7 linked regions of the Ovis aries genome follow. The protein of the gene in region 3 interacts with the protein of the main gene of each other region in a pairwise test. Links are inferred from orthologs where the notes say so. Each region holds a gene or a part of one and is shown on either strand. Other genes may lie near its edges. The genes, in order: FATE1, ABT1, EMD, TRAF3IP3, KASH5, TRIM42 and MEOX2.

Evidence for each region.
Region 1: the proteins of EMD (region 3) and FATE1 interact in binary tests that used the Homo sapiens proteins (3 or more experiments, as listed by UniProt). The two-hybrid records come from large-scale screens. The link is inferred for Ovis aries from reciprocal best matches to the Homo sapiens genes EMD and FATE1.
Region 2: the proteins of EMD (region 3) and ABT1 interact in binary tests that used the Homo sapiens proteins (3 or more experiments, as listed by UniProt). The two-hybrid records come from large-scale screens. The link is inferred for Ovis aries from reciprocal best matches to the Homo sapiens genes EMD and ABT1.
Region 4: the proteins of EMD (region 3) and TRAF3IP3 interact in binary tests that used the Homo sapiens proteins (3 or more experiments, as listed by UniProt). The two-hybrid records come from large-scale screens. The link is inferred for Ovis aries from reciprocal best matches to the Homo sapiens genes EMD and TRAF3IP3.
Region 5: the proteins of EMD (region 3) and KASH5 interact in binary tests that used the Homo sapiens proteins (3 or more experiments, as listed by UniProt). The two-hybrid records come from large-scale screens. The link is inferred for Ovis aries from reciprocal best matches to the Homo sapiens genes EMD and KASH5.
Region 6: the proteins of EMD (region 3) and TRIM42 interact in binary tests that used the Homo sapiens proteins (3 or more experiments, as listed by UniProt). The two-hybrid records come from large-scale screens. The link is inferred for Ovis aries from reciprocal best matches to the Homo sapiens genes EMD and TRIM42.
Region 7: the proteins of EMD (region 3) and MEOX2 interact in binary tests that used the Homo sapiens proteins (3 or more experiments, as listed by UniProt). The two-hybrid records come from large-scale screens. The link is inferred for Ovis aries from reciprocal best matches to the Homo sapiens genes EMD and MEOX2.

The regions. Positions count from the first base shown.
Region 1 is NC_056080.1:84,015,895-84,020,042, reverse strand, and holds the start of FATE1 (fetal and adult testis-expressed transcript protein), read left to right. Parts: upstream 1-1,348; 5' UTR 1,349-1,407; coding exon 1,408-1,516; intron 1,517-2,462; coding exon 2,463-2,578; intron 2,579-4,148. UniProt on the Homo sapiens protein: Involved in the regulation of endoplasmic reticulum (ER)-mitochondria coupling. Negatively regulates the ER-mitochondria distance and Ca(2+) transfer from ER to mitochondria possibly implicating it in the regulation of apoptosis.
Region 2 is NC_056073.1:30,516,891-30,520,390, forward strand, and holds part of ABT1 (activator of basal transcription 1), read right to left. Parts: coding exon 3,288-3,500; intron 2,621-3,287; coding exon 2,415-2,620; intron 2,260-2,414; coding exon 1,879-2,259; 3' UTR 1-1,878.
Region 3 is NC_056080.1:80,070,509-80,074,788, reverse strand, and holds EMD (emerin), read left to right. Parts: upstream 1-1,480; 5' UTR 1,481-1,604; coding exon 1,605-1,686; intron 1,687-1,784; coding exon 1,785-1,892; intron 1,893-2,059; coding exon 2,060-2,137; intron 2,138-2,326; coding exon 2,327-2,460; intron 2,461-2,931; coding exon 2,932-2,978; intron 2,979-3,060; coding exon 3,061-3,397; 3' UTR 3,398-3,800; downstream 3,801-4,280. UniProt on the Homo sapiens protein: Stabilizes and promotes the formation of a nuclear actin cortical network. Stimulates actin polymerization in vitro by binding and stabilizing the pointed end of growing filaments. Inhibits beta-catenin activity by preventing its accumulation in the nucleus.
Region 4 is NC_056065.1:72,984,267-72,987,533, forward strand, and holds part of TRAF3IP3 (TRAF3-interacting JNK-activating modulator), read right to left. Parts: intron 2,963-3,267; coding exon 2,713-2,962; intron 1,872-2,712; coding exon 1,809-1,871; intron 1,499-1,808; exon of another isoform or gene 315-1,498; coding exon 255-314; exon of another isoform or gene 1-254. UniProt on the Homo sapiens protein: Adapter protein that plays essential roles in both innate and adaptive immunity. Plays a crucial role in the regulation of thymocyte development.
Region 5 is NC_056067.1:55,605,061-55,608,560, reverse strand, and holds part of KASH5 (protein KASH5), read right to left. Parts: intron 2,181-3,500; coding exon 2,103-2,180; intron 1,837-2,102; coding exon 1,780-1,836; intron 1,310-1,779; coding exon 1,250-1,309; intron 508-1,249; coding exon 443-507; intron 277-442; coding exon 189-276; intron 1-188. UniProt on the Homo sapiens protein: As a component of the LINC (LInker of Nucleoskeleton and Cytoskeleton) complex, involved in the connection between the nuclear lamina and the cytoskeleton.
Region 6 is NC_056054.1:248,855,709-248,859,208, forward strand, and holds part of TRIM42 (tripartite motif-containing protein 42), read right to left. Parts: intron 2,517-3,500; coding exon 1,693-2,516; intron 1-1,692.
Region 7 is NC_056057.1:24,985,256-24,988,811, forward strand, and holds the end of MEOX2 (homeobox protein MOX-2), read right to left. Parts: intron 1,899-3,556; coding exon 1,674-1,898; 3' UTR 501-1,673; downstream 1-500. UniProt on the Homo sapiens protein: Mesodermal transcription factor that plays a key role in somitogenesis and somitogenesis and limb muscle differentiation. Required during limb development for normal appendicular muscle formation and for the normal regulation of myogenic genes.

The sequences.
Region 1 (4,148 bases), about 3.9 Mb from region 3:
TTCCTCCCTTCCTCTCCTCCCCCTCCCCCTGTCCTCCTCTCCCTCCCACCTGGCCCCAATTGTGCTTGGTTTCTTTACAAATAGCCTCCTCTTCCTCAGGAGCTCTGAGGCTATTCCCAAGAGCTGAGGGTTCACCTTCGGTGGCTGTATGAGTCAGAGTTCTCCAGAGAAATGGAACCAATAGGAGGTATGTATGTGTATGTATATGTATTGTTGCACTCACTCACTGAGTCATATCTGACTCTTTGCAACCCCATGGACTGTAGCCCACCAGGCTCCTCTGGCCATGGGATTTCCCAGACAAGAATACTGGAGTGGGTTGCCATTCCATTCTCCAAGGGATCTTCTCAACCCAGGGATCAAATCTGGGTTTCCTGAACTGGCAGGTGGATTTTTTTTTACCACTGACTCACTATGCATATATGTGTGTGTAAAGAAAATTTTATTTAAAGAATTTGGCTCATGCCATCATAGAGCTAGCAAGGCCAAAATTTGCAGGACAAGTCAGCAGGTTGGAATGTTAGGGAGGGGTTGAGGTGTAGTCTTGAGCAGAATTTCTTCTCTGGGAAACCTCAGTCTTTGTTCTTAAGGCCTACAGCTGATTGAATGAGGCCCATTCACAGTATCAAGGATACACAATGTCCTTTACTTAAAGTCCACTGATTATAGACATCAACAGCTACAAAAAGTGCCTTGATAGAAACATCTAGACCAGCACGTGATGGAATAACTGGAGACCTTAGGCTAGCCACATGGACCATAAACATGACCACTGAGGTCTATTCAGTAGGGAAGCTGAGGGAAAATTTGACTTAGAATAGGGGGTGCAGGGCTGGGGACACTGGAGGCTCCAGTAAGCAGGCCCCTCTTCTGCACATCTCTCCTTTGGTTTTCATGGTTCCTGTCCAGGATGATCCAGGGTGTCAAAAGTCATGTCCCTTGCCTGGGAATTCTGGATGGGGTAAGGCAGGATGTGCTCTGTAGAGGATGCTTTCTGAAGGGGGCTATGGCCTGGACTGTTAACCAAAGCTGGCCTTGCAGAAACCACGGTGGGATCTAAACCTGCTTTGGCCACTGACCAACTCTGGAGTCCTGTGCCAGCCCCTCCCTCTATCTAGAAATGAGGTCAAATCGGATGAGCTGAGAGCCAGGGCAGCTTTCCCAGGCAAAGATTCAGAGTCTATCGCTTCTCCTAAGTTGCTTACAGAGTAGCAGAGAAGAAGACCTTGAACCCAGCCAGCAAGATACAGCAGGAACAGGAGGTGCTGGGTCTAATGCTTGAACTCAAAGTGGGAGTCTGGCTCCACCCCTGTGTCCAGATATATCTTCCGCAGAGAGCTGATTTCCCAAGCCTCCTCCGAGCCTTGGACCCTGTGCCTTCTTGGCCATTGCTTACAATTGGTGGTGATGGCAGGAGGAGCAGTCCCTAACCTCAAGGAAAAGATGCAAGTGCCAAAGGATGAAGACCTGCTTCTTGGAAGCTTTAGGGATAACCAAGAGCGCTCAGTGGCAGCAGGTGAGGATCCCCCGTAATGTCCCTTCCCTTGGGTATCTACACCTGTGCATGCATGTTAGAAAATGCGCAGGTTTGGCTTGGCAGAAGCATGAATGTGTGTTTGCATGTATTTGTGGGTACCTGTGTGTGAGGTAATGGGATTGATAAAAGTGAGCCTTTTGTAGCGTGTGACGGGGAAGGTTGGATGAACACCCCTCCCATTGCAAGCCACCAGTGGATCTTAATGCAAAACACTCAGTGGGTTCAATTTATAAGATCATTCAAAGCAATTCTCTCTCCTAACCTTCCAGTACCTTCTTCTGCCCTTTAGAGTAAAGCTCCTTTCCATGATCTACAAGATCCACATAAGGTCACCTCCTCAATATACTTCCTGCTGTGGCATGCTGACTCAGTCCACAGTGCCTTTAAGCCTGTCCTGTAACATCCCAAGACTCTTTCTTCTTCACAGCCTTTTCACTATGTGTTCCCTCTTTCCTCAGATTTTCTATGGCTGGACTCTTTCTCTTTCAGGTCTCTGCCTCAGTGTTGTCTCTGACTTTTCTAGAAGTATCCCCTTCCTTCTGTCTTGTTATCCTGTTTTTATTGTTTTGGGAGCATGCATCTCTTGATTTGCACTGATGGATTATTTCCTATAACCCCCACTCTCGTTACCACTTTCTCTGTACACACACAAACAATCAATTTTTTATTGCTGTGATCTTATTTCTTGGCCATTGCTTGCTCTTTAAGAACCTAGCCCAGAGCTTGACACTCAGTAAACACTTACTATATTTTGAGTACATGAAGAAATTGAGACCTGAGATTAGCCAGTAGATGCCAGAGAATGGGTGTTGAGTGCTTCCTAAGATGTTGGGGGACCCTATCCTATTTTTTGGTGTGTTCTGTGCCCATGAAACCTTGGGATAGCCTCTATGGGTATTCCTTGGGCCTCTGTTCTTCTCCCTAGAAATGAAGGAGCATATATCTCGGTTGCTGGGTGCTTCTCAGCGGCGACAGAAGGTGGATCCAAAGGCTGTTGGCTCTGCTGCGGTTTGGAATATGGCTGCAAACCAGTCCAAGAAGGTGGTACTGTATGGCATTTGGTGGCTAGCTTGAGTTTGGGGGAGTTTGCTACAGTTGTAGCAGCTCTGGTATGGAGATGGTAGGTCAAGCAGGGCAGATGTTGACTTTGGGGGAAGGACAAAGCTCCTGTGTTCTGGGCAGGCAAATGAGGGCAACAAGGTCTGGCAAGAGATCATGGCCATTCTTTGTTAGTTCAACCTTGAGGGTCCAGAATGTCTGAAACACACATTGCTTGTGGAGTACATATCTACTTTCTTTTATTAATAAATTAGTAAATATATCTATATTTGAATCTCTATATGTATATATGTATATATCTATATGTTATGTCTACTCTCTATATATATTTCTATATAGAAATATGCAAAAGTATAAAAATCATTATATATATATATATATATATATATATATATATATATATATATAGTTGCTGTTTAGTCTCTAAGTTATGTCTGACTTTTTGAATCCCCATGGACTGCAGCATGCCAGGCTTCCCTCTCCTCCACTATCTCCCAGAATTTGCTCTAATAAATGTCAATTGAGTCAGTGATGCTATCTAACCATCTAATCCTCTGCTGCCCCCTTCTCCTTTTCCGTTTAATCTTTCCCAACATCAGGGTCTTTTCCAGTGAGTTGGCTCTTTGCATCAGATGGCCAAAGTACTGTAGCTTCAGCAACCATCCTTCCAATGAATATACAGGGTTGTATATATATCTCTAAGCATATATAAATATAGATATACATGTATCTATATCTATCTTAGGGCTGGGACTAGGGTAAGGCAAGTGAAATGCCTATGCTCTCTGGCTACTAGGAAATCCAGTCAATTGAATCTGAGCATTTTGTAGCCAATCCTTTAAGTTACATTCTATATGAGTGAGGGAATGTTCTAGAAAAAATGGTGGCTATACTGTTGCAAAAGATACTGAGAAAAGGCAGTCATTTTGGAGAAGAGAAAGTCCTGACTCTTCTTGGGAATCACATGAATCCCATCATCCTTCTGTAGCCAATTCTTTTAACTACATTCATCTTGGGTGACAGAAAATTTTAGAAACATAGTTGTTAAACCACTGCACGTTTACTGGGAAAGGGCAACACCTTTGGAGAGGAGGGAGACCTGAGTGTTCCAGGCAATCATGTGAGTCTCATGTTTTGTAGCCCATCTGATAAGTAAGCTACTTTTGCTGCAGATGCTGGCAATTTTAGAAACATGGTTGTTTTACTGTTGCAAAGGTTATAGGAGGTAGAGGGAAGGCAAATTGACTGGAGAGGCAGGAAGACCTGATGTTCTAGAAAATCAGCCGAGTTACATTTTGTTCCTCTGTAATGAATTTTTAAAATTATACTAACCATATGAGGGAATGTTGTAGAGAAAATGGTGGCCATGTTGTTGCATTCAGTTCAGTTCAGTTCAGTCGCTCAGTCGTGTCCGACTCTTTGTGACCCCATGAACCACAGCACGCCAGGCCTCCCTGTCCATCACCAACTCCTGAAGGTTACCCAAACTCATGTCCATTGAGTCAGTGATGCCATCCAACCATCCCATCCTCTATTGTCCCCTTCTCCTCCT
Region 2 (3,500 bases), on a different chromosome or scaffold from region 3:
GAATCACAATTATAGTTACTGGGAAATTCATTTCCTTCCACTCATTATTTTCATCTTTTCACTCCACTTGTGACTTACCCACCCATAGGTGTGAGCTCTACATGCAGAACTGTTTAAACTTGAGACTGAAACGGTGACTTTGAATATCCTATATATAACATCAATCTGGAAACACAAGTTCATTCATTCAAAAAATTAAGCCCTACATGTGTTTTACTGTTAGTAACTTAAGTTTCTTCATCTTGGTATTCTCTATGTATGAGAAACGACAACAGATACTCAGAACTTTGAATAAATGAATATGACAGCTTGTCAGAGTCTGAAACTGGATCTTCATGATTCACGTGGAAGACATCATGAAGAGTCCACATGGAATAGGCCCACATGAAATGAACACAGATGTTTTTGTGTGCTGAGTTTTGAGGATTGTGAAAAATGTTACACCCAACAGATCATAATTCATTTCTCTCCTCCCAAATAAACTTCACTTATCAAATTGAGATCTTAACAAAACTTGGTTATTTAGAGCCAAAGTAGGTGAATCCACTTGACCCAAAGAACACAATGATAATTATATTGATGACAGTTAAGCAGAAAGAACAAAAAGAACTTAAGACAATAAAGGGTGCAAGCGAAACTCAAATGACTTACTATTATTGCTCTAACACTTCCTGTAAGTTTAAAAGCCAGAGTTTTACTCTATTATGAGGCTGTGTGTAGATTTTTTCAGTTTTTTGTTGACATCTCAGTTTTCAGTTCCCCTCAGTGGCTTACACGCATTCTATCACCTTCAGAGCTGCTTTGTATGTTGTGAACATTCCCTTGTCTAAGCGTAGATAAAATGTATAAATGCACCAGAAGGACATCATGTGTGCACAACTACCTCCTAAGCTTTGCCCACCTTTACAACGGTCTGAACCCAACACGTCATCTATGGAGTTTTGTTTGCAATTACAGGAGTATATCAGGCTCTTTCAGACTTTGGTTCACTTCTTAGGATGTTACTTACTTTCCCGGATAGAATCAATCAGGCCTTCCCATGGCTTCACTCTACCTCTTATATACATCTGGCATGATGCCCATAGTACTTCTATACATTTATTTCTTAAACATCTGTCTTTTTTAGCAGTCTATAAGACTTACACCAAGGGCCATGTGTCCTCATATAGTGACTTAGTAAATGTTGAATTAAATAAGTGTTAACAGCATGGCCTAAGAAACTGATTAGATGGAAAACTATCCAGGTTAAAACAGAGGGAGGTATCCTGTGTCCAGGAGACGGATCAAAGGTGGGTGAATTCTGTCCAACACACAGAAGTTGGAACTTATCCAATGACCATCTCCACCCCCCCACGCCATAAACTACAAAGGCATGTTTAAAAATATATATTTACATATATCTTTTTCTATTCTATAAATATATTTTGAAGGTGACTCCCAAGCCACTCTAGCCCATTAACCCCTGTCCCTATTAATCTTTTCTAAATAAAAAGGATGTTGCTGCTGCCCAATAATGTGGTTGGTAAACAGCTGTCTGGACTAGCCATTATCACTCTAATTCAAGGTAAAGGCCGTTCCTAGGGCCAGAAAGAAGGACTTTTAAAGGGTCCCAGGGCGCAGAAGGCAGGAAGCCAAGAACTGAACAAGGTAAAACAGACATGAGCAGACTAGCATAATTATGCTAGTAAGAACTAAGTGCCTCAGCCAGGCATGTACAGGAGCTGGGAGGAGGAAGACGAGAGGCCTTGTTACAAAACTTTTGAGGAACTCACCAGACTCCTGGTTTGAGAAACACAATAGAATGTCCGCCTGGGTAGTCATTATAAGGTAGAAGGGACGCTGGGCTGGGCTAGGAGGTGGAAGGGGCCTCTCTGACCCTCAAGAGTTCCTGACCGGTGAGGAGTCCCCCCTGTTCTCTGAGGGTGTAGGGGCTCCAAAGATCTTGGCAAGAAGCCCTCGGTTGGAGCGGGCCTGGTCCTGAGCGTTAGCCAGGCGAGCTCGTTCACGTCCCCCTGGCCGAGCTGCCTTCCGGGCCCTTAGCTCCTGCTCAGTAGGACGCTGGGCAAAGGCCCAGGAACCATTCGGGCGGGTAGAGTCCCCATCAGCCGCAAGAAAACGCTGTCCGCGCTCCACACTTCGAAGATAGAAGTCAGTCTCACGCTTGGCCTGGGCAACCTCAGCCCTCAGACGCTGCCTGCGCACCTGGCGCTCAAAAGCAAGATGCTCGCTGAGGTGAGACCAGGTAAAACGGTGCAGGTACTGTGGACAGGAAAACAAGAAAAGATCTGAGTAGGGCAGATCAGAGATGGGGAGTTGATGGAAGGGATGGGCGCCAAAAAGATGACAGGGGTGCCTGGGCTGTGGCCACGAAGGCGAGACGGTGCATGGTGCGGCAGACAAGCCAATCTCCTCACCTTGAGGTTCCACAGGTCATAACGGAAGGGGCTGCGCCTGCGAGAGCCCATGGGTGTGTTGTGAAGACTGGCCGCCACACGCTTGGCTACTCGCTTGTCCCGGAACTCCACCCAGCCCTCCGTGTAGTCCTTGCTGTACTTGGACCGCTTTTTCCCTCCGGCGGTGGAGGCAGCTGCTGCCTTCTTCTTGCGCCTCACGAACCCGTCTGGAGTTCAAGACAAAGTAGTGGTCAAAGAGGCCCATACAGCATCCACTCAACAGCACCTCCCACTCACCAATTCTCCAGACCTCCCTGCAGGCCAGGATCCCACCTTGTCTTTACCCAGAGGTGGCTAACTGCATAGTCCACACTTTACCCCTCAACTAAACTCAACCTTTTCCTCAAATGTTAATTCTTTTATCATTACATCTGCCCTAATCGTTCTATTCAAAACCTGCACAGGCCCCCAACCCCAATTAGTGACTGACTGAATGGGAGTTGGGCGGGGCCTATTATATACTGTCTCTGGACCTGGGCCTCGACATGACAGAGATACGTTCAGTTTTGTGGAAAAGTCACTGAGATTTTAATTCAGGCAGTACTCATTTAACAAACTTGTAAATTCGCCTCAAGAAAGTAGGGTGGGAGGAGCCGAGATTAGAATCCAAAAATTAGCGAAGAATTTAGGCTCAGCTAGATATACAAAGCTACCCACACTCCGTTTCAGCCTTCTAAGAAACGTGCGCGTCACCTACTTACCAAAGAAAACAGACACAGGTCCCCGGCTCCGTCAGCGCCTCCAAGCTCAGCTGAGGCAACAAAACACGCACTGTGTATTCAGTGCCAACGAGTACCACCCCTCTTCCCTCACCATCAAGGCCTGAGCACTTACCCTCAGCCTGGAAAAAAACACGCCCGACCTCCCCGTAGGCGCTGAGAAGGTTCCGTACGTGTAAAGGCCTAAAGCGGGGCGGGATGTGGCCCAGGTACACAATGCCCGGCACTACCCGTTTCTTGCTGCCACCAGCCGCCTCTTCAGATTCCTCCTGTTCCTCCTCTGCCTCCAGTTTCTGGTCACTCCCTTCCAGAGGCCCCGGCTCCGCGG
Region 3 (4,280 bases):
AGAGCCCAAATGCCATCTCCCTCCCTGCTCAGAGATAAGCAGCAAGACCCTTGCCCTGCCTGGGGGCGCTGCCCCTCATCCGACCATGCATGCGTGGGGCCCTCATATTTTGGGAGATGGAGAAAGCCTCATTTCTAAAACCTGGCCAACAGCAACCTTGAGGAGGGGCTTCGTATGTGGTTAAACCAGGGCCCTATCTTCTCTCCACCCCATGAAGGAACTTTTGCTGAGACCGAGGCTGTGACCCTCACCAACTGGGCCAGTCTGCCAGCCTTCATCTCAGTTCCGGGAGAGGCACTTAAGTTTCCCCTCATTCCATTGGCTGGCTTTGTTAGAATGTCACTGTCATCTTCTTCCTAATTTTCATGGGACAGCTCTTCCTGACCAAGGCTCTCACCAACTCCCTGTGACAGGCCCTGGCTGCCTTCCATGGTTTGCCCCCCTCAGTCCCCTGGCCCCCCTGTCTGGGAGGCTCCCTCTGCACTCCCACGACCCTGAAGCCCACTGAGACCCAGGTGCTCAGAGTGCATTATCGGAAGCCTGGGGCAGGTCCCTCTGGCAGCCTCCTGGGTCACGCTGGGCTCAGGGGCCATCCCAGCCACGGTGGGGAAGCCCCTCGCGCCTCTGGTGCACTGCCGGTGGGTGAGGCAGACACCCGCCATCTCGGCATCACAGGGCGCCCCATGCCAGTGCCCATTGGCATGCCCGGGCCCCTTCCAAGGCTGCTGGCTCCTGGAGGGCCGGTGGCCTCCTGGCCCAGTGCCCCATTTCCTCTGGGGTGCAAGGGGAGGGAGGGAGGCGGTGGGAACCGGCGGGCGCAGGCCAGGATCCTGCAGAGCGGGAAGGCGTGCTGGGGCAGGGGGTCTGGGGCTCTGGGGGGCGGTTTATGGTCAGGTGGCTACAGGCTTCCTTGGTGTGGCGCGCGCGCGCACTGCGCGTGCAGCAGCGCCTAGTCTGGACCCGTGCTCTCCAAGGGCTTGCCCCTTCGGATCAGGCCCCTTCTCGCAGCCGCCGGCGACGCGCCCGCCTGGGGCGCGGCCAGGGACCCGCAATTGCTGGAGCAGAGGGGCAGTTGAGACCGAGCGGACTCCACGTGACTCAGGGAGGGCGAGCCCCGCCCAGCGCGCAGCCCCGCCCAGCTCCCGCATCCTGCCCAGTTTCTGCCGGTTGCATGGCCACAGGCCCCGCCCCTCCACCCTTCTGACCCAAATAGCCGAGCGGGTGACGTCGCGGCTCGCGGGCCCCGCCCCGCTCCCAAGCCGGGGCGGGTCTAAGCTAGTTCCCGTCGCGCCCAGGCCCCGCCCCCTCGCTGGGGTCCAGCCCTAAATGCGCCAGCGTGTGACGTCTCTGGGCTCGGGAGCCCCGCCCCTCCCCGCCCATTCGCGAGGCTCCACCAATCTGCGCTGGCAGCTCTCTGCGAGGCCCGGCCCCGCTCCGCACAGCGCGCGCTGCCCGCGGAGACCGAGACTGTGACGCGGGCGTGACGCGCGCGTAGCCGCTCCCGAGGCACTCCTGTTTCCCCTGCCGCGCTCCGAGGCCATCGTCTCTCGGCCGGTGTTGCAAGGCCCAGGCCTCCCCCAGGCCTCCGCCGCCCGCTGCCCGCCATGGACGACTACGCAGTCCTCTCGGACTCCGAGCTGGCCGCCGTGCTGCGCCAGTACAACATCCCACACGGGCCCGTCGTCGGTACGCGGTGGACGGAGGGCGGGCCCGCTCCCCGCGCTTAGCCCCGCGGCCCCCTCTCGGCCCGCTCCCTGACCGCCCTGTGCCCCGCGTCTGATCAGGTTCCACTCGCAAGCTCTACGAAAAGAAAATCTTCGAGTATGAGACCCAGAGGCGGAGGCTCTCGCCCCCGAGCTCGTCCGCATCCTCTTTCTCCTATCGGTTCTCGGGTGAGGCTCCCGTCCCAGGGCCCCGCCTGGCCGCCCTTGGGGACACGGTTTGGGGGACGCTGAGGAAGGGGTCGCGGGGGTGTGGCCAGGGCACTGGCTGGAAGGGGCGCGGGGGAAACGGGAGGGGACCCCTGTGGGCCAATGGTCCTAGCCCCTCCCCCATTCAGACTTAGATTCGGCGTCCGTGGACTCGGATATGTATGATCTGCCCAAGAAAGAGGACGCCTTACTTTACCAGAGCAAGGGTAAGGCAGGGGTGGGGTGGGCACTCTGACACCTTCCTTCCAGTGTCAGCCAGAACCTGAGACCTCAACCCCATGCGTCCTGCAGTAGCCCTGCAGCACCCCCCCCCCCAATGGGATTCAGATTAGGGCCATCGGGCCAGGTGGGGACACCGTTGCCCCTTCTGCTACCGCTGCCCCCCCCTTCCTAAGGCTATAATGATGACTACTATGAGGAGAGTTACTTGACCACCAGGACTTACGGGGAGCCTGAGTCTATGGGCACATCCAAGGGCTTCCGCCAGCCCTCAGCTTCACTCTCAGATGCTGACCCCTTTCACCGCCAGGTGAGCTGAGTTGTCGGGCACCCTGTACTTGGGTACAACCTGAGGGGGTCCTCATGGGGTTTGGATGAGTCAAGGGAACCACTGGGCACAAATGGTGGCTCAGAAACCTCCAGGGAGAGGTGGGGCCTGCAGACACCTGCCTGGTCAAGACCTTTGGGGTGGGGGAAGGGGCTGTCAGAACTGTTTTGACTAGTGTGCCCAGGACGTGCCCTGGCTCTGGTCTGGGATCTAGGTTTGAGCTCTTTTTGAGAATTCTGGGGCAGAAAGTAGGATGCAGGCAGCCGGGACAAGTGGCACGGCCCTGCAGACATAAGGCTGAGGACCAAGAAGGGGGTCTGGAGGGTGGCAGGGCCCAGGCCTTTAATCAGTGTTCAGAACAGGCTGGGAAGGGCAGTTTGGACTGAGGGTATGACCTGTCATACCTACACCGACCCTGTCAATAGGTATTCTCATTCTGATTCACTTCTGTAGGTCCGTGATGACAATCTTTTCTCTTTGGAAGAGGAAGGCAAGGATCGGTGAGTATTAAGGCGAGCCAGGGGCTGGGGCTGATTCAGGACTCAAGCCCTCCTGGTCTACCTACTGCACTCTTTGCCTCAGGGAACGCCTCCTGTATGGCCGGGACAGTGCCTACCAGAACATTGCACACTACCGCCCTATTTCCAACATCTCCAGAAGCTCCCTGGGCCTGTCCTATTATCCCACATCCTCCTCCACCTCGAGTGTGTCCTCATCTTCATCTTCGGCCCCTTCGTGGCTCACCCGCAGAGCCATCCGGCCTGAAAAGCAGGCCCCTGGGGCTGCCGGCCTGAGCCAGGATCGCCAGGTCCCGCTCTGGGGCCAGGTGCTGCTGTTCCTGGTCTTTGCTGCCTTCCTGCTCTTTGTTTACTACTCCATGCAGGCCGAGGATGGCAACCCTTTCTGGGCAGAGCCCTAAGGGTCTGACCTCGTACCTTGGAGGCCGGCTCCTCTTGGAAGCCCTGGCTGACTGCCTTATCAGTGTTTGTTGGGGGAGGGGGGTTGGGGCTTTTCTGTGTGTTCTAGCTTGGGGTTACCAGGACATGGGCAATGTTTGCTGACCCCTGCCCTGTCCTGCCAGGGAGGCAGCAGGCCTGGGCCCTCTGCGGCATGGTGGACCTGGGTGGGCCTGCCTCTGGATCCTCCTGGCCCTGCTTGCCTGTCACCCTTCGGGCCTAGGAGGGCAAGACCCTTCTCCTGGAGAGGAGAACATGGTTTTGGTCATCGCATGCCTCCTATTTGTCGTCACCTCATGGGGGGATTAACCAAAGGCCACCCTGAGTTTGTTTTCGTGGACACAATAAAAGACCATTTATTTTTAATGTGTGGGTTCTTTTCTTTAACATGGGGAGGGGTTGGGCTGCCCCCCTGCTAAAGGCTTCCAGGCCTTGGGTCTCCAGAATTGCCATCCAACTTTGTCAGTTCATCCTTTCGTCCTTTGAGCCTGAGATAGGGATCATAGGCAACCCATAAACTCATTTATGTTTTGCTTTTGGTGCCCGCTCCCTGACATGTTACCAGAAGCTCTTGTAAGTGCTTATAAAAAATAGTCACACAGAGAGCCCACTGGGAAACGCAGGTGAGGCTGCTTGCACCGTGTCAGTTCTGGGTGTTTCAACTGGGACCAGCAGACACCAACTGTGGTGTCCAAGGGCAGAGTGATGGGAAGGAAATGAGGCATCTGCTTGATGGGCTGCTGGAAGGCTGGTTGTCTAATGACAGGGGAAGGCTCTCAGTCCTCTGGAATGTTTCATCTCCTTTTAGTAAACCAGTTCCTCACCTGGGTATTACCACAAGGTTTT
Region 4 (3,267 bases), on a different chromosome or scaffold from region 3:
TTTATTGAAATGTTCAGTACAGATGTATGTTTTCAGAGGGAATAGAAATCCTTTCCATAGTTTATATACCTCTCAGGATAGGAGGTTAACTAGCTAAAGTGTTCTCAGAGCCAATGAGGAGTCAGTCCTTAAAGTGCTCCTTTAGCTCCCTGACCTAAGAGTCCCCGACACAGGGTCATATAGTCCATCCCTCTGCCTCTAGGAGGGCAAGGAAAGAGCAATATCTTAGAATTTGTGGAAAGAAGTTTGCTGACCTTTCTTTATTAAGAGTTTCTGCTGTTTTTGAAGCTGTAAGGATTGATTCTGAAGCAGACCTGTTGGAAAACACAAGGAACTTGTCTGTGCTAGCGCATTTACTGCAGAGTGTCTTCTTAGAACTTTGCTGAGACCTTAATTATTCTGTTCCCATCTGTAGTTGAATTGTGTCACTCCCCCCCACCCCAAATTCTTATGTTGAAACCCTGATTTCCAGTACTTCAGAATGTGACCCTATTTGGAGATAGGTTCTTTTAATCAAGTTAAAATAGGACATTAGAGTCCTATTTTAATATTGACTAGTGTCCTTACAAGAAGGGGAAATTTGGACACAGATGCGGATGGATGGAAGACGTGAAGAGATGGAGAAGGTGTCCATTTCCATCTTCTTGGATGGAGAAGAAGGCCATTTCCTTCTCCAAGCCAAGGAAAGCAGTCTAGAATGGATCCTTCCCCCAGAGCCCTCAGAAGAAACCAACCCTGCCCGCTTCCTTGATCTGAGACTTCCAGCCTCTGGAGCTATGAGAAAACCAATGTCTGTTCTTTAAGTCACCCAGCTTGTGGTGCTTTGTTACGAACACACCCTCCTTATATCTCTTCCTACCATGTACCTTTAAATCTCTGTGTAAATGTTACCGTAGAAGAAGGACATTCCCAGTTGACCCTGTGTGAAATAGCAACTGTTTCTCTTTAACCTGCTGTGCGTTTTCCTCTATAGCAGTTGTTAATACCTGACACCTGTTTGTCCATAGAAACTCCATACCGCACTGTAGTGTTTGTTTAGAATGTAAGCTTCGTTAGGGAGGAAACCATGCCAGTTCTGTTCATTACCGTATCCTCAGAGTGTGTCTCTGTGCCTGGGACTTGGTAGGGGCTCAGTAAATAAGCGCTGAATAAATAAAGGCATGATTTTGAAGTGACTTGCCCATTCAGCCCCGACTGTGTGGGAGCCCAGCTTTTGCTGGTGTCCTCCCTCCCTGACCCCTGAGGCTGCCTGGCTCTTCTTATACTCATTGCTCTCTGCATGAAACTTCTCTGTCGGGGGTGTCAGAGGTTAAGGTGGGAGGCAACCAGCAGAGCTGTGCATTGTTTCAGGTTCTCTGGCTTTTCAGAAATTGCCAGCTTTTCTTTGGAAACACCCCTTTTCCTCTTTGGCCTCGACATGTAATTGGGAAGCAGACTGAGCTTATTTTCTGAACCATTCCCAGTGGCAGAGGTCTGTGTGACAAATGTACATAATAAATTAGAATATATAAAATAAGAAGGACCTTAGAAAACTCTGAAATCTGCAATTCTGGGGGAAATGCAGGTGGTGGTTGTGGGCAAGGAGGAGAAAAGTAGAAACAAACGAAAAATGCCAGAGGCTAATGTGGAACTTGGGAAGAACTGTCTGTGACCTCACTGCCCAGGAAGAGGGTCTGGACAAGCAGAGGTAGAGGATATGCCAAGGACTGGGCTTCCCGTCGCTTCTCTGGATGCCTTTTGTGGGGCAGGAGCCCCAGGAATGCCAAAAAGCCACCTGCGCTACTTTGAGAATCTGGAAAGGGACTTACTCTGCAGCTGCTGTACTTTGGTCACCAGGGCGAGTTTCTCCTCCTCTGACCTCTTTAGTTGATCTGAGAATCAAACAAAACAAACCAAAATAGAAGAACCTAAGACCTAAAGAGCTCACCCCTGAGGCTGGAAATTAGTAACAGATGCTGTTTAGCCCATGGCCTCTGACCAGTGTCAAGTGGAAGTTGCTCTTTCTTCTGCTTGTCCCAGTTCTGAAGAGGTAAACCAGAACCCTGCTGCCGTGGATTTCATCTGGATTGACAGTGGGCTGAGTTACGGGTTGTTTGTGTATATAGGGTTTTCTAAGTGGCCCATTGGTAGAGAATCTGCCTGTCAGTGCAGGAGATACAAGAGATGCCAACTCGATCTCTGGTCAGGAACATTCCTAGTATTGTTCGGAACAATACCGGAGTAGGAAACAGCAACCTGCTCCAGTATTCTTTTCCAGCCCCTCTGCCCTGCTGCAGTATTCTTGCCTGGAGAATCCCATGGACAGAGGAGCCTGGTGGGCCATAGTCCATGGGGTTGCAAAAGACTCAGATACGAATGAGTAACCCAGCACAGCACAGCAGCATGTGTGGGTAATTTGGTCCCCTCTCAGCTGACAGGGGCCGTTGACTGGGAAACTTCTATGCTTGGTGTTTTTGCTGACCTTTCCCTTTAAATTAGGAATGCCGTCTTGGCACGTGACTGCTATGGGAGTAACTGTGCTCTGGCTTAGACGGATAGGCTGGATCTTTTCTGTCTTGGTCTTGGATGATTAAAACAACCCTGCCTTTTTCTCAGAGTAAAATGAAATCACCAAGTCAACCAAACAAACAAATGAAAGACTGATCCTTTTCCAGCCAAGCCCCCTTCTTCTGGGCCCCCAGAGGCCTCCAAAGCCTCCAGGGGGATGGGTACCTTGTAGGTGCTGGGTGTCCGAGCTGCACAGGTCTCTGTCCTCCTGCAGGCATTCAATCCTGGCCTGCAGCTCTTGGTGCTCACTCTCCAGAAGTCGTAGGGCCTGGTTCATCTGTGAGTCTCTGCTGTCTGCTCCCTGGTGGGAGGAGGAGGGGCAGACAGGCAGGTCAGCGCTAGCTAGGGTGGAGGCAGCGGGCAGATCCCAAGGAGGAAGAAAACTGGGGAGATTGTAGAGTAACAGAGACGGAGTCTGAGGGAAGTGGAAAAAATAGGAAGAGTTTTAAAATTCTTCAGTGTGCTCTATTCCTCATGCTTAACAACCAATAAGGGATGAGATTTTTGATATTCACAAGGGATTCCTTTGGATAAATGCCCACATTCAGGAATACCGAATCATCGCTTTTCTAGACAACTTCACTTTGTCTTTACTTCTCATTCTCACGCTATCGATTTTTTCAAGGCGGAGTGGGTAGGCTCATTTTTCACAAAGAATTAAGGCTGAAAAGGAAACGGACTTCGTGAGAGTTTCCTTGTAGGTGATTTGAGGAAGAGAAC
Region 5 (3,500 bases), on a different chromosome or scaffold from region 3:
GATATGAGGGTGCCTGGGGGTCCGTGGGGCAGCACCGGGAAGGGTTTGGTGCCTGGACCAAGGACTGGGACAGGGATGAGGTTAAGAACCGAGGTGGTCCTGGGAGGACTGGAGTGGGGTGAGAGTCAGGGCGGGGTCAGAGTTGCCGCTGGCGGTGGCTTAGGGTGTTCTGGGGGTGTCAGGCCCACCTGCTGAATGGCCTGGATCTCCACACCCAGCGACGGCGGCAGCAGGTTGGTGCAGTCCGCTCTCCTCACCTGGGCCCCTTCGGATAACCTGGCCACACAGTCAGGAGGGGGAAGGCTGCCTCCATGCCCAACCACCTGTCAGCCAGCCTATGCTGAGGCTACTGCCCTGCCCACCTTGGGGCTGGACGCCACGGTGGGGGCTCCCTGTCCTTGGGCTCCCCTCCTGCTTCCTCCTCCCCCGTCGTTCTACTCACTCATCCAGCCCCTCCTGGGTCTGACTCAGCTGCTCCTCCAGGTGGGAGATTTCCAGCCTCAGTTCCTGCAAAGGAAGGATTGAGGGACCCCTGGCTCTGCCTTTTCCCCAGCCCCATGTCTGGGCTCCTCTTCCAAGGCCAGGTCCACTCCTTTGACTTCTTTGGGATCCTCCATACACATACAGACAAGGAGAGAAGGGGAAGAAACAGTAGCAGAAACTTAAGAAGCCAACGAGAGGTAAAGAGCAACAGGAACCCAGAATGTAACCTATCGGTCAGGAAAACTAAGAAAAGGAAAGCAGAGATGGAAACATATGGGAAAATGAGAGACACACATAGGGGACAGGGAGGCCTGGCGTGCTGCGATTCGTGGGGTCGCAAAGAGTCAGACGTGACTGAGCGACTGAACTGAACAGCCCTATCACACACAGATGGGGAGCAAGAGACTGTGAAGACAAGGGACAGAGAGAGGAGTAACCCCAGGAGACAGAGAACTGACCCAGAGAGCGGCAGAGACTGAAACCAGCCAGGCAGGGACACAGAAACAGGGGCAGGGCAGACACTGTGAGAAATCACCCACAGAGAATCAAAGTGGGTGGGAGATGGAGATACAGAGAGAGGAAGGACAGAGGAAAAGTGAAAACGCAGAGAGAGAGGGAGGGGGAGAGACGCACACAGTCAAGCAGCAGTGATGGTAGAAACAAGAGGTGGAGACTCGGAAAAAGATCATCAGACATAGGAGGAGGCAGGACACACCCCAGAGATGGCAAAACAGAAGCAGGGCCTGTGGCCGGGCCAGGGGGTTACCTGGGTTGTGGCTCTGTACTCCTCCAAGGTCTTGGTCAGGCTCTCCGCGTGGCGAGTGCGCTGGGAAAGCCCAAAGCTGATTGAGGCCGGGCTCAACCCACCAAAAACTCTGAGGTCTGGTCGCAGGGGAAGGGGGGTCGGATGGGTGTGATGGGCTGGGGGCAGAGCAAGACCTGAAGAGAGCATCAGCTTCCCTGGAAACCCTCTGACCTCTCTGGGCTGAGTCTCCAAGGATTAGAGTCTAGTATGCGTGCATGGCTAAGTCACTTCAGTCATGTGGACCGTAGCCCGCCAGGCTCCTCTGTCCATGGGATTCTCCAGGCAAGAATACTGGAGTGGGCTACCATGTGCTCCTCTACAGGATCTTCCCAACCCAGGGACTGAACCCGCGTCTCTTACGTCTCCTGTATCGGCAGGCGGGATCTTTACCACTAGTGCCACCTGGGAGGCCCTAGAGCCAAGGAGGATTTTCCTTTGTAGACTTGGGGCAGGAGACACATCGAAGGCACATTTCCCTCCAGCCCACTCACCTCGGAGAGGATGGCGTCTCGCTGGCAAATGAGGTGTTCACACTCGTAGAGCTGCCGCTGCCAAAGAAGGAGCCCGTCCATCTGTCTGGCCTGCCCTCCCCGGCCTATCCCGCTCTCTATAGCTCCTCTCCTCAACCTCCCTTCACATCTCTGGACGTCAGCTACCCCGAGGGGGACTTCAGTGAGTTGCCCACTGGCCCTGGGGACCTCAGAGCTTGAGTCAAACCCCTGATCTCACCAGACCAAAGGGGCTGAAACTGATGAGGCTAAAAACGGGCCTCAGGGAGGTAGGAAATCGTCAAGGCACTAGGGAGGGGTGCCACCTTCAAGATGTCCTTCTCCGAGGCCAGCTCCTCACTCCTCCTCTTCACTCCATCCCGCTCGGCCAGGAGCTTCCCATTCTGGAAGAAGGGACCCTGGTCACGATCACGTCAGCAAATGGCCATGTTAATACTCAGAGAAGACATGTGCTGAGCACCTGATGTGCATCAGGCCTCATGCTGGGCACCCTTTCTCTTTTTCCTGAGCCTTTCAGATGCGGCTTTAATTATCCTTCAATGGCAGCCTTTCTAAGACTTTTTTTTTTCACTTTTTATTTTGTTTTGTATTTAATTGTATAGCCAATTAACAACACTGGGACAGTTTCAGGTGAACAGTGAAGGTGAACAGCCATATACATGCATCCATTCTCTCCCAAACTCCACTCCCATCCAGGCTGCCACATAACATTGAGCAGGGTCCCATGTGCTATACAGTAGATCCTTGTTGGTTATCCATTTTAAATATAGCAGTGTGTACATATCCATCCCAAACTCCCTAACTATCTCTTCCTCTATCCGTCCCCCTATTCCCCGTGCTCAGCACTTCCTGATGTTTCAGCCCACTTAATCCCTCCAACAATCCTATAGGATCTCAGCTCTGATTTGCAGATGAAAAAATAAAAACGGCTGCAAAAATGGAGCTATGATGGGATGCATGTGAGGATTAAATGAACTAATAATTACTGCTAACATTTACGGGGCACCTTGCCAGTGTTAACTTACTTCTGTGCCCTCTTTTAAAGATAAAGATGGGAGTTCCCTGGTGGTCTAGTGGTTAGGATTTGGTGCTTCCACTACAGTGGCTTGGGTTCCTGGTACAGGAACTGAGATCCTGCAAGCTGCGAGGTGTGGCCAAAATAGATAAAATAAGATAAAAATAACTGACTCACAGAAAGACTGAGCAACTTTGCCCAGGGTATATAGATGGGAATTCATGCAAATACATGTTTAATATGTTAATGAATACAAACACATTTAGAACAATGCCTGGCATATACCAAAATTTGGTGTTATATCAAAAAGATATTTCTAACACTTTGTATTACGAATTTTTAACCCACAAAAGTAAAGCTAATGGTGTGGTGAACCCAGAAATTCCCCAGTGGTCCAGTGGTTAAGACTGCACTTTCACTGCAAAGGCCTGGGGTTCAGCCCCTGGTTAGGGAACTAAGATCCCACAAGCTGCTCGACTCAGCCAAAAAAAATCATGAACCCCCATTATTTGTCACCCAGTTTCAGTAATTACATACATTCTTCCTGTTTGTTTCTTCTCTATGCACAGAGTTTGCTTTGCTTAACCAGATTATTTTAAAGCAAACCCCAGGCTTATTATTTCACCTGTAACTGCTCCAGCATTTGTATTTGCTACCTGAAGACTTTTCCTTTAGAAAGGACCACAAT
Region 6 (3,500 bases), on a different chromosome or scaffold from region 3:
CAGTCGTTCCCATCCAGAGCTACTACTACTACTACTACTAAGTCGCTTCAGTCGTGTCCGACTCCGTGCGACCCCATAGACGGCAGCCCATCAGGCTCCACCATTCCTGGGATTCTCCAGGCAAGAACACTGGAGTGGGTTGCCATTTCCTTCTCTGATGCATGAAAGTGAAAAGTGAAAGGGAAGTCGCTCAGTCATGTCCGACTCCTAGTAACCCCATGGACTGCAGCCCACCAGGCTCCTCCATCCATGGGATTTTCCAGGCAAGAGTACTGGAGTGGGGTGCCATTGTCTTCTCCCATTCAGAAGCTAGATCTTGCCAACCTCTCAAGTGGTCTGAGTTGCATGGAGATGAGAACTAATGCAGTCCCTGATGCAGTGTCACGTACATTGCAGGTGTTGCTGATCTAGCATCACTTGGAAGTGCAGCTTCAGCTGCTTAGTTGTGGGTACCTGCTATGTGAAGGGCAGAGATACATTTGCTGTGTCTGACAGCCCATGGGAGGATAGGTTCTGTATGTTCTACCTTGCAACATAAGGTCATTCTTGGAGTCAATTATAAATGCCAAAACATAGATTAAGATGTTTCAGGAGAATAAAAAGGTAAGGCTTGGTCAGTGTCTCCCTTTAATTTTCTTGTTTCTAGATCCTTTGATACTGAAGTGTGGTCTGCTAATTGGCAGCAATGCCAACATCTGGAAGTCTGTTAGAAGTGCAGAATCTCAGGCCCCGCTGAGACCCACTGAAGCAGACTCTGTATTTAACAAGATTCCCGGGTGCACGTTAAGGTTTGAGAACCACTAGTTTAGGCTTCAAGGACGTTAAGTGTCTTTGTGAGTGCTCAGATCATGAGGACAGAAGGTGGATTCTGCTACATGGAAGCAAGTCATGGGTTGGCTTGGGAATTGTCCCTCTAGTGGTCCCAAGAGGAGGCAAGATATGCTCTCATAGAATACATTTTTTTCCTTCCTGGATGCTAATAGAACATTATATAAACTATTCAATTTAGATTCAATCAGCTAGATTTGAAAGGAATGTTAAGAGATGGGCTATTTGTTCTGTTCATGTTAGGCCAAGAAGGTCAAGGAAGAGTCATATCCCTTGACGCTGAGTGATGGCAGTTGTAGAGGTCTGTGAGAGATACATACCCTCCCCTCACTAAAAGCTGAATCTCAGGAGATAAGAACTGGAATTCCACTGGGGATTACCTTCTAATCTTTCCAAATCATGAAGAGTCTAGATATTTTCTTTAGAAAAAGTAGCAATTTAGAGGAATCACAGCTGATAGATCACGGAGGCTGCTTTTCTAATTCCAATTTCTGTTCTCTTTCTACTGTTACAGGCTTTCCTTTGGGAAATATTATTCTCTTCAAGCAGTCTCTTCAAATTACTTTGGTTCCAAAATTGCAGTCTCTTTCAATAGAGAAGCTGCCTTTGAAGTGGAATTGGGGCTTTCAGATGCATTTCTGGCTATGAGTTAAATATATGTTTGGTTTAAGCCAATCTCGGGCTCTTAAGATTTCAGGAACTTATCCCTTTTGAATGGGCCAACCACACAGAGTCCAGAGGAACAGATCTGAGTGACCAGATCCTAGTGGTCAATGAACTAAGTGCAAACTTTCCCGACTACCCACCTCCATGCCATAGCTCACACCCTCCCATCTTTCCTACAGGGCCCAGAGCCTTTCTTACCTTGGCAGCTCTTGGATACACCAGAGTCTGGTAGATAACAATTGGGCCTGGAGTCTTCACAGAGCTATCGTTGAATGAGTACCAGTTGTGGAAGCTATTGCTATTCTGCACAGGCTGGTTTTCTACCCCGGTGCTCCAGTAGGTGTAGAGGCCGTCTGTGGGCTTGGCAGGTGCAGCTGACTGGGCTCGCCCATAGGCTTCCAGACCTATCTTGGTTTTCTCACAGGCAGGGGCATTGAAGGACAATAAGGAGGAGCTTCGCTGGTATATCTGCTGGTTATTGAAGCTGTGGGTGCTGAAAGTGACCTTCCTGGCGATCATCATTTCTGACTGCAGGGGGTAGGAGGACGGCAGGGAGTCCCCAGAGGAACACACCTTCTTGGGTCCTGTGGGGAAGAGCTCGTGAATGGCACTGGAGAGCTCAGCAAAGTCCAAGGGCATGCAGTTCAAGGAGTGTAGCCGGAGCTGTGGGTCGGGCCTATAAGTGCTCTGGATGCCATCCTCGATCTGGTCCACCAGGATCTTGGCTGACTGCAGGAATGCCACTTGGCCTGTCTCCTTGAGCGCCTCCTTGGAGTAGGCAATCAGGCCATCCATTTCGTTCACCTTCATGGTAGTGACGTACACATACTTTTCAATTTCCTTTTGCCTGGACACCTCCAGATTCTCTATCTGCTCCATGATGGTTTTCTCTTTCTCCTGGAGAATGCTGCGCAGCTTGAGAAATCCATTTCTGATCTCTTTCCGCTTTACCTCCTTGTCAGCTTTAAAGCTGTTTTTTAAAATATTGAATTCCATGAGGTCATTATCAATTTCATAGCGGACTGCAAAACAATCAAGTTAGTTACTTCAGTTAAAATTTTCAGTTCCCCAGATATCAAAGCCAGTGGCAAACTGGAGCATATTAACTTGGGCTCCAAAGAAGTGGGTGGAAAGGGAGGAAAACCACTTGTTGCTGGGCTTAAAGATGCTAGCATAGGTTTGTAAAGTGACTCTGGCCCCTCTCCACACACCCTTCTCTTCCTCTTTGTCTAATATTTCCTTTAGGTATGACAGCCAGCCTTCCCTGGCATACTTCTATCTAATAATTCTTACAGCCTTGGGTCTAAAGGTGGAAGTTCAAGGCCACCCTTGATATTAGTTTTCACTCAACTTTACCTGTTAGCAAGTTGGACGTGAGAAGAGGTGATGTCACAAAGTGATGGATTTTCCCTATGTGAAAGCCTAAGCTTTTGCAGGGGTGGGAGAAGAAATAAATTTCTGATGACTACTTCTAAATATTGCTTTGTCTCGTTCACCAAAACCCAGCCCTAGACAATAGTGGCAAACCAGCAAAGTTCCCCTTCACTGTGGCTTCTCTGACATGTCCTTTTCCTTTGCCGGGGGCTTTGACTCCCTTGGGTTCAGCTGGACTCCCTGTCTTGCCTACCCCACTTCCCACTTCCTTTCCAGAAAGGGTCTGCTGTTACAAGTCAAGGAAAACCAAGTTCATCCTGCAGCCTTGACATGGCATTTGGATTTTAAGTCCTCTCAACCATTCAACAACCATTTATGGGACACCTATTCCACATCATATACTTTTCTAAGCTCTAGGGATACAGATATGAGTATGAGAGGCCACTGATGCTCTAGGAATGCACAAACCCAATGATACTGCAGTGGGGAGGATGCCAGGGCAGGGTGAGCATGTGGCCCACCTCTGTCTGTGAAATGGCAACTTCATTGTCTTTACAGGGTTTTAGGCGTTAGACAACAATTTGAATACAGGTCAGCCTTCTGTGGCCTATTCTAGAGGTAAGGTCCTCTCC
Region 7 (3,556 bases), on a different chromosome or scaffold from region 3:
GTATCCAATGTATGCACAATCCGCATGATACCAAGCACATTAAGTCAGTATAGCCCTGGACTTCTTACATTGGTAATTTCCTCTAGGGCTGAGAATTCGGATTAGGTTATGGAGCTTATTTTCACATGAAAAACTCTGGGTATTTTTGTGTAAAAACAATCATTGGATGAATTCATGTCCATTATACATAAGCTTAAAAATATATGACTGGTTTCTCTCATTGTGGTGAATAATATTACTTTTCTCCTTTTATTTCATAAAACACAAATCTATTTGGCATACTCTTCAATTCAGGGAAATGGGCTTACCATATGCTTATTCTCAGATGCTTTTTTATTACACAAGGATTTTTTCATAATAAAAAATTTCAGAAATAAAAATGTAGATGATTCACTAATTATGATCATCTGCTTTTACACAAGTGCACATGAATTGGGGATTTTCTTAAGTATTTACATTAACGCTTGTAAACACAGGAAATCACAGTAGGAAGACCAAGATTATTTACAAAGGATCATTTATTTAACATTTTTTTTTTTTACAAAATACAAAAATTGTTGTTCGGCATGAATACATCATATATGAAAAAAATGTGTTTTTACTGAACTTAATTTGAAGACATTCAGAATTTTACCTTCTACAGACTTGAGGAATCAATTTTGTTTTGCAAGTTGTCTATTATCACCAATCGGGGGAAAACCCTTTTTCTTGTTAATTAAATCATATTCACAACAGGTAACATTTTATAGAAATAAAATCAGACAATGTCTGTCATACAAAAGCTCTTTCTGCAAGTAACTGATTTGCCTATGATCCTAAATTTTTTTTTCCAAGCTATAGATAGGAAGAATTGAGGAGCTAGGTAAGTTTTATAATAATGTATTAGCAGCAGTTGATAGAAAATGCAACATAAGATTTGTTTTGTCTGTGGTACAAGAATATTCCCTATCAGACTCTAATGTATTTTTCTCTACTTGAACACAAGTAAGCATGTGCTGATTGTTTCTGGGATGACAAAATGTATAAAAATACAAGAAGCTGGTTCTGTTTGTCATCGTGAGTGGCTATTTTTATCAGCTAATATGAATGCATTGCTAAACGTAGTGAAGACAGGAAAATGACTTAAGGGTAATATATACAGAGTTAAAATACATTTTTTTAACCCACTTAAGAATGATTTCAGGCACTGTGGCTGTTTGAGATAAAAATGGTTCATGGTTTATTCTTGAATAGTAATGTAATTGTCAGTGCAAGCGAGAGCAAATACCTGCCCACTGTCACACCCATGACCTCGGACATCTGCAATGTTCAAAGCCAATTCATCTTCTGCATCTTCACTCTGGAGGCACCTTCAATACAAATGCTTCATAGTTTGCTCTTGATAGCAATTTAATTTTCAGTGCAAGCAAAAGCAAACACAAAGGCTGCTCACTGTCATACACACGACCAACACCTCTGGAATATTCACCTCCATCTTCTCTGTGGAAGCATCCTTCTTAAGTGGCACTTAGTGTAAACCCTCTATAAATCATGAAAAACAGACTCGGGATGCCTGAACTTAATAATATTAAAAATCAAGGTCATAGTCCTTTCTCTGTGTAAACGATGTTCGAGTAAGGCTTGCCATCACCACATTTCTTTCCTGAGAATGGAGCTGGTCCCCTCTGTCTGTATCATAAGTGTGCATGCTCAGAGCTGTGGTCACTATCGTGGCTGTCTTCGTTTGCTAGCGAGTCCCCTGTTTGCTGGAGGGTGGCTGCACCGATTCCCGAGAGCTCTGAAGGGAGGAGTGTTCCCTTTTTCACATTGACCAGTTCCTTTTCTCGAGCGGCAGCGCCTTGCTGTCCTCCTTTTACCCTCTTCCACTTCATTCGCCTGTTCTGGAACCACACTTTCACCTTTAACAAAGAAAGGGAACAAGTGAAAGAAAGAAAGGGAAATGGACAAAATGTTTTCTTCCATTTCGGTCATAAATGGAAAAAAAAGGCTTTTCAAAAGCTTTTACAAATACACTGTGAAGTAATGAATATGAAAATAAGTCACCATTGAATTTAATCAAGGCCTATGTTCATAATAATTTTAAAACATTCAGAAGGTACCAAGTCCTGTATTTTGTATTTTATGACATCTGCTAAGTCACTTCAAAAGACCCTGATGCTTGGAAAGACTGAAGGCAGGAGGAGAAGGGAACAATAGAAGACAAGATGGTTGGATGGCCTCACTGATTCAATTGATGTGAGTTTGAGCAAGCTCCGGGAAATGGTGAAGGACAGGGAAGCCTGGCCAGCTGCAGTCTATGGGGTCGCAAAGATTGGGACACGACTGAGTGACTGAAGAACAACAAAGCAGCTTCAGTCGTGTCCAACTCTGTGTGACCCACAGGACCGGAGCCCTGCAAGCTCCTCTGTCCATGGGATCCTCCAGGCAAGAGTACTGAAGTGTGTGATCAAAACCCCATCATTTACATCTCCTGCACTAGCAGGCAGGGTCTTTACCACTAGCCCACCTGGGAAGCCCATTTTATGACACACCATGTAAAAGAATAGATGGGGAAAGTGCTGTATCATTTTAGGCTGTTCAAAGGTGTTTAGTTTATGAAGAGTTTCTGTGCATTAGAACGACCATTCAGTAATTGTTTTGGTCAAACAACACCCACTTTGCCCCCTCCCCCTGCTGTCAGTCCCTGGACCAATCTAAAATATACTCAGGGAGCCACTGATGAAGCTCCGTCTAGCACGCCATTCTGTGCCCCCGCGGTCCACTGCTTCACTCACAGAGCTTTATTTGGCCATTTCACCTCAGAGTGAGTCCATCTTCTTTTGAACTATGCTTTTGCTCCTCCCTTAATACTTTGATTTTACATTACAAATATGTGGTTCTGATTTCCTCAAAACAAGATCAAAAATTTTCCCTGGTACTGTTGTTTAATTGCTCAGTTGTGTTTGACTCTGTGACCACATGGACTGCAGCACACCAGGCTTCCCTGTCCTTCAACATCTCCCAGAGCTTGCTCAAACTCATGTCCACTGAGTCAATGATTCCCCCCAACCATCTCATCCTGTTGTCCCCTTCTCCTCCTGCCCTCAATCTTGTCCAGCATCAGGGTCTTTTTTCAATGAGTCAGTTCTTCGCATCAGGTGGCCAAAGTATTGGAGTTTCAGCTTCAGCATCAGGCCTTCCAATGAATATTCAGGGTTGAATTCCTTTAGGATTGACTGGTTTGATCTTGCTGTCCAAAATTTTCACTAATACTTGTTAAATGCTAATACTGAGTTTGTATATTATGTTAATCACATCAGCTTTGTAGAGATATATTTTCCTTCTAAAATCTTAATTGAAGTTACCTAATATATGGCATCTGGTCCCATGACTTCATGGGAAATAGATGGGGAAACAGTAGAAACAGTGTCAGACTTTATTTTGGGGGGTTCCAAAATCACTGCAGATGGTGACTGCAGCCATGAAATTAAAAGACGATTACTCCTTGGAAGGAAAGTTAAGACCAACCTAGATAGCATATTGAAAAGCAGAGACATTACTTTGCCAACAAAGGTCC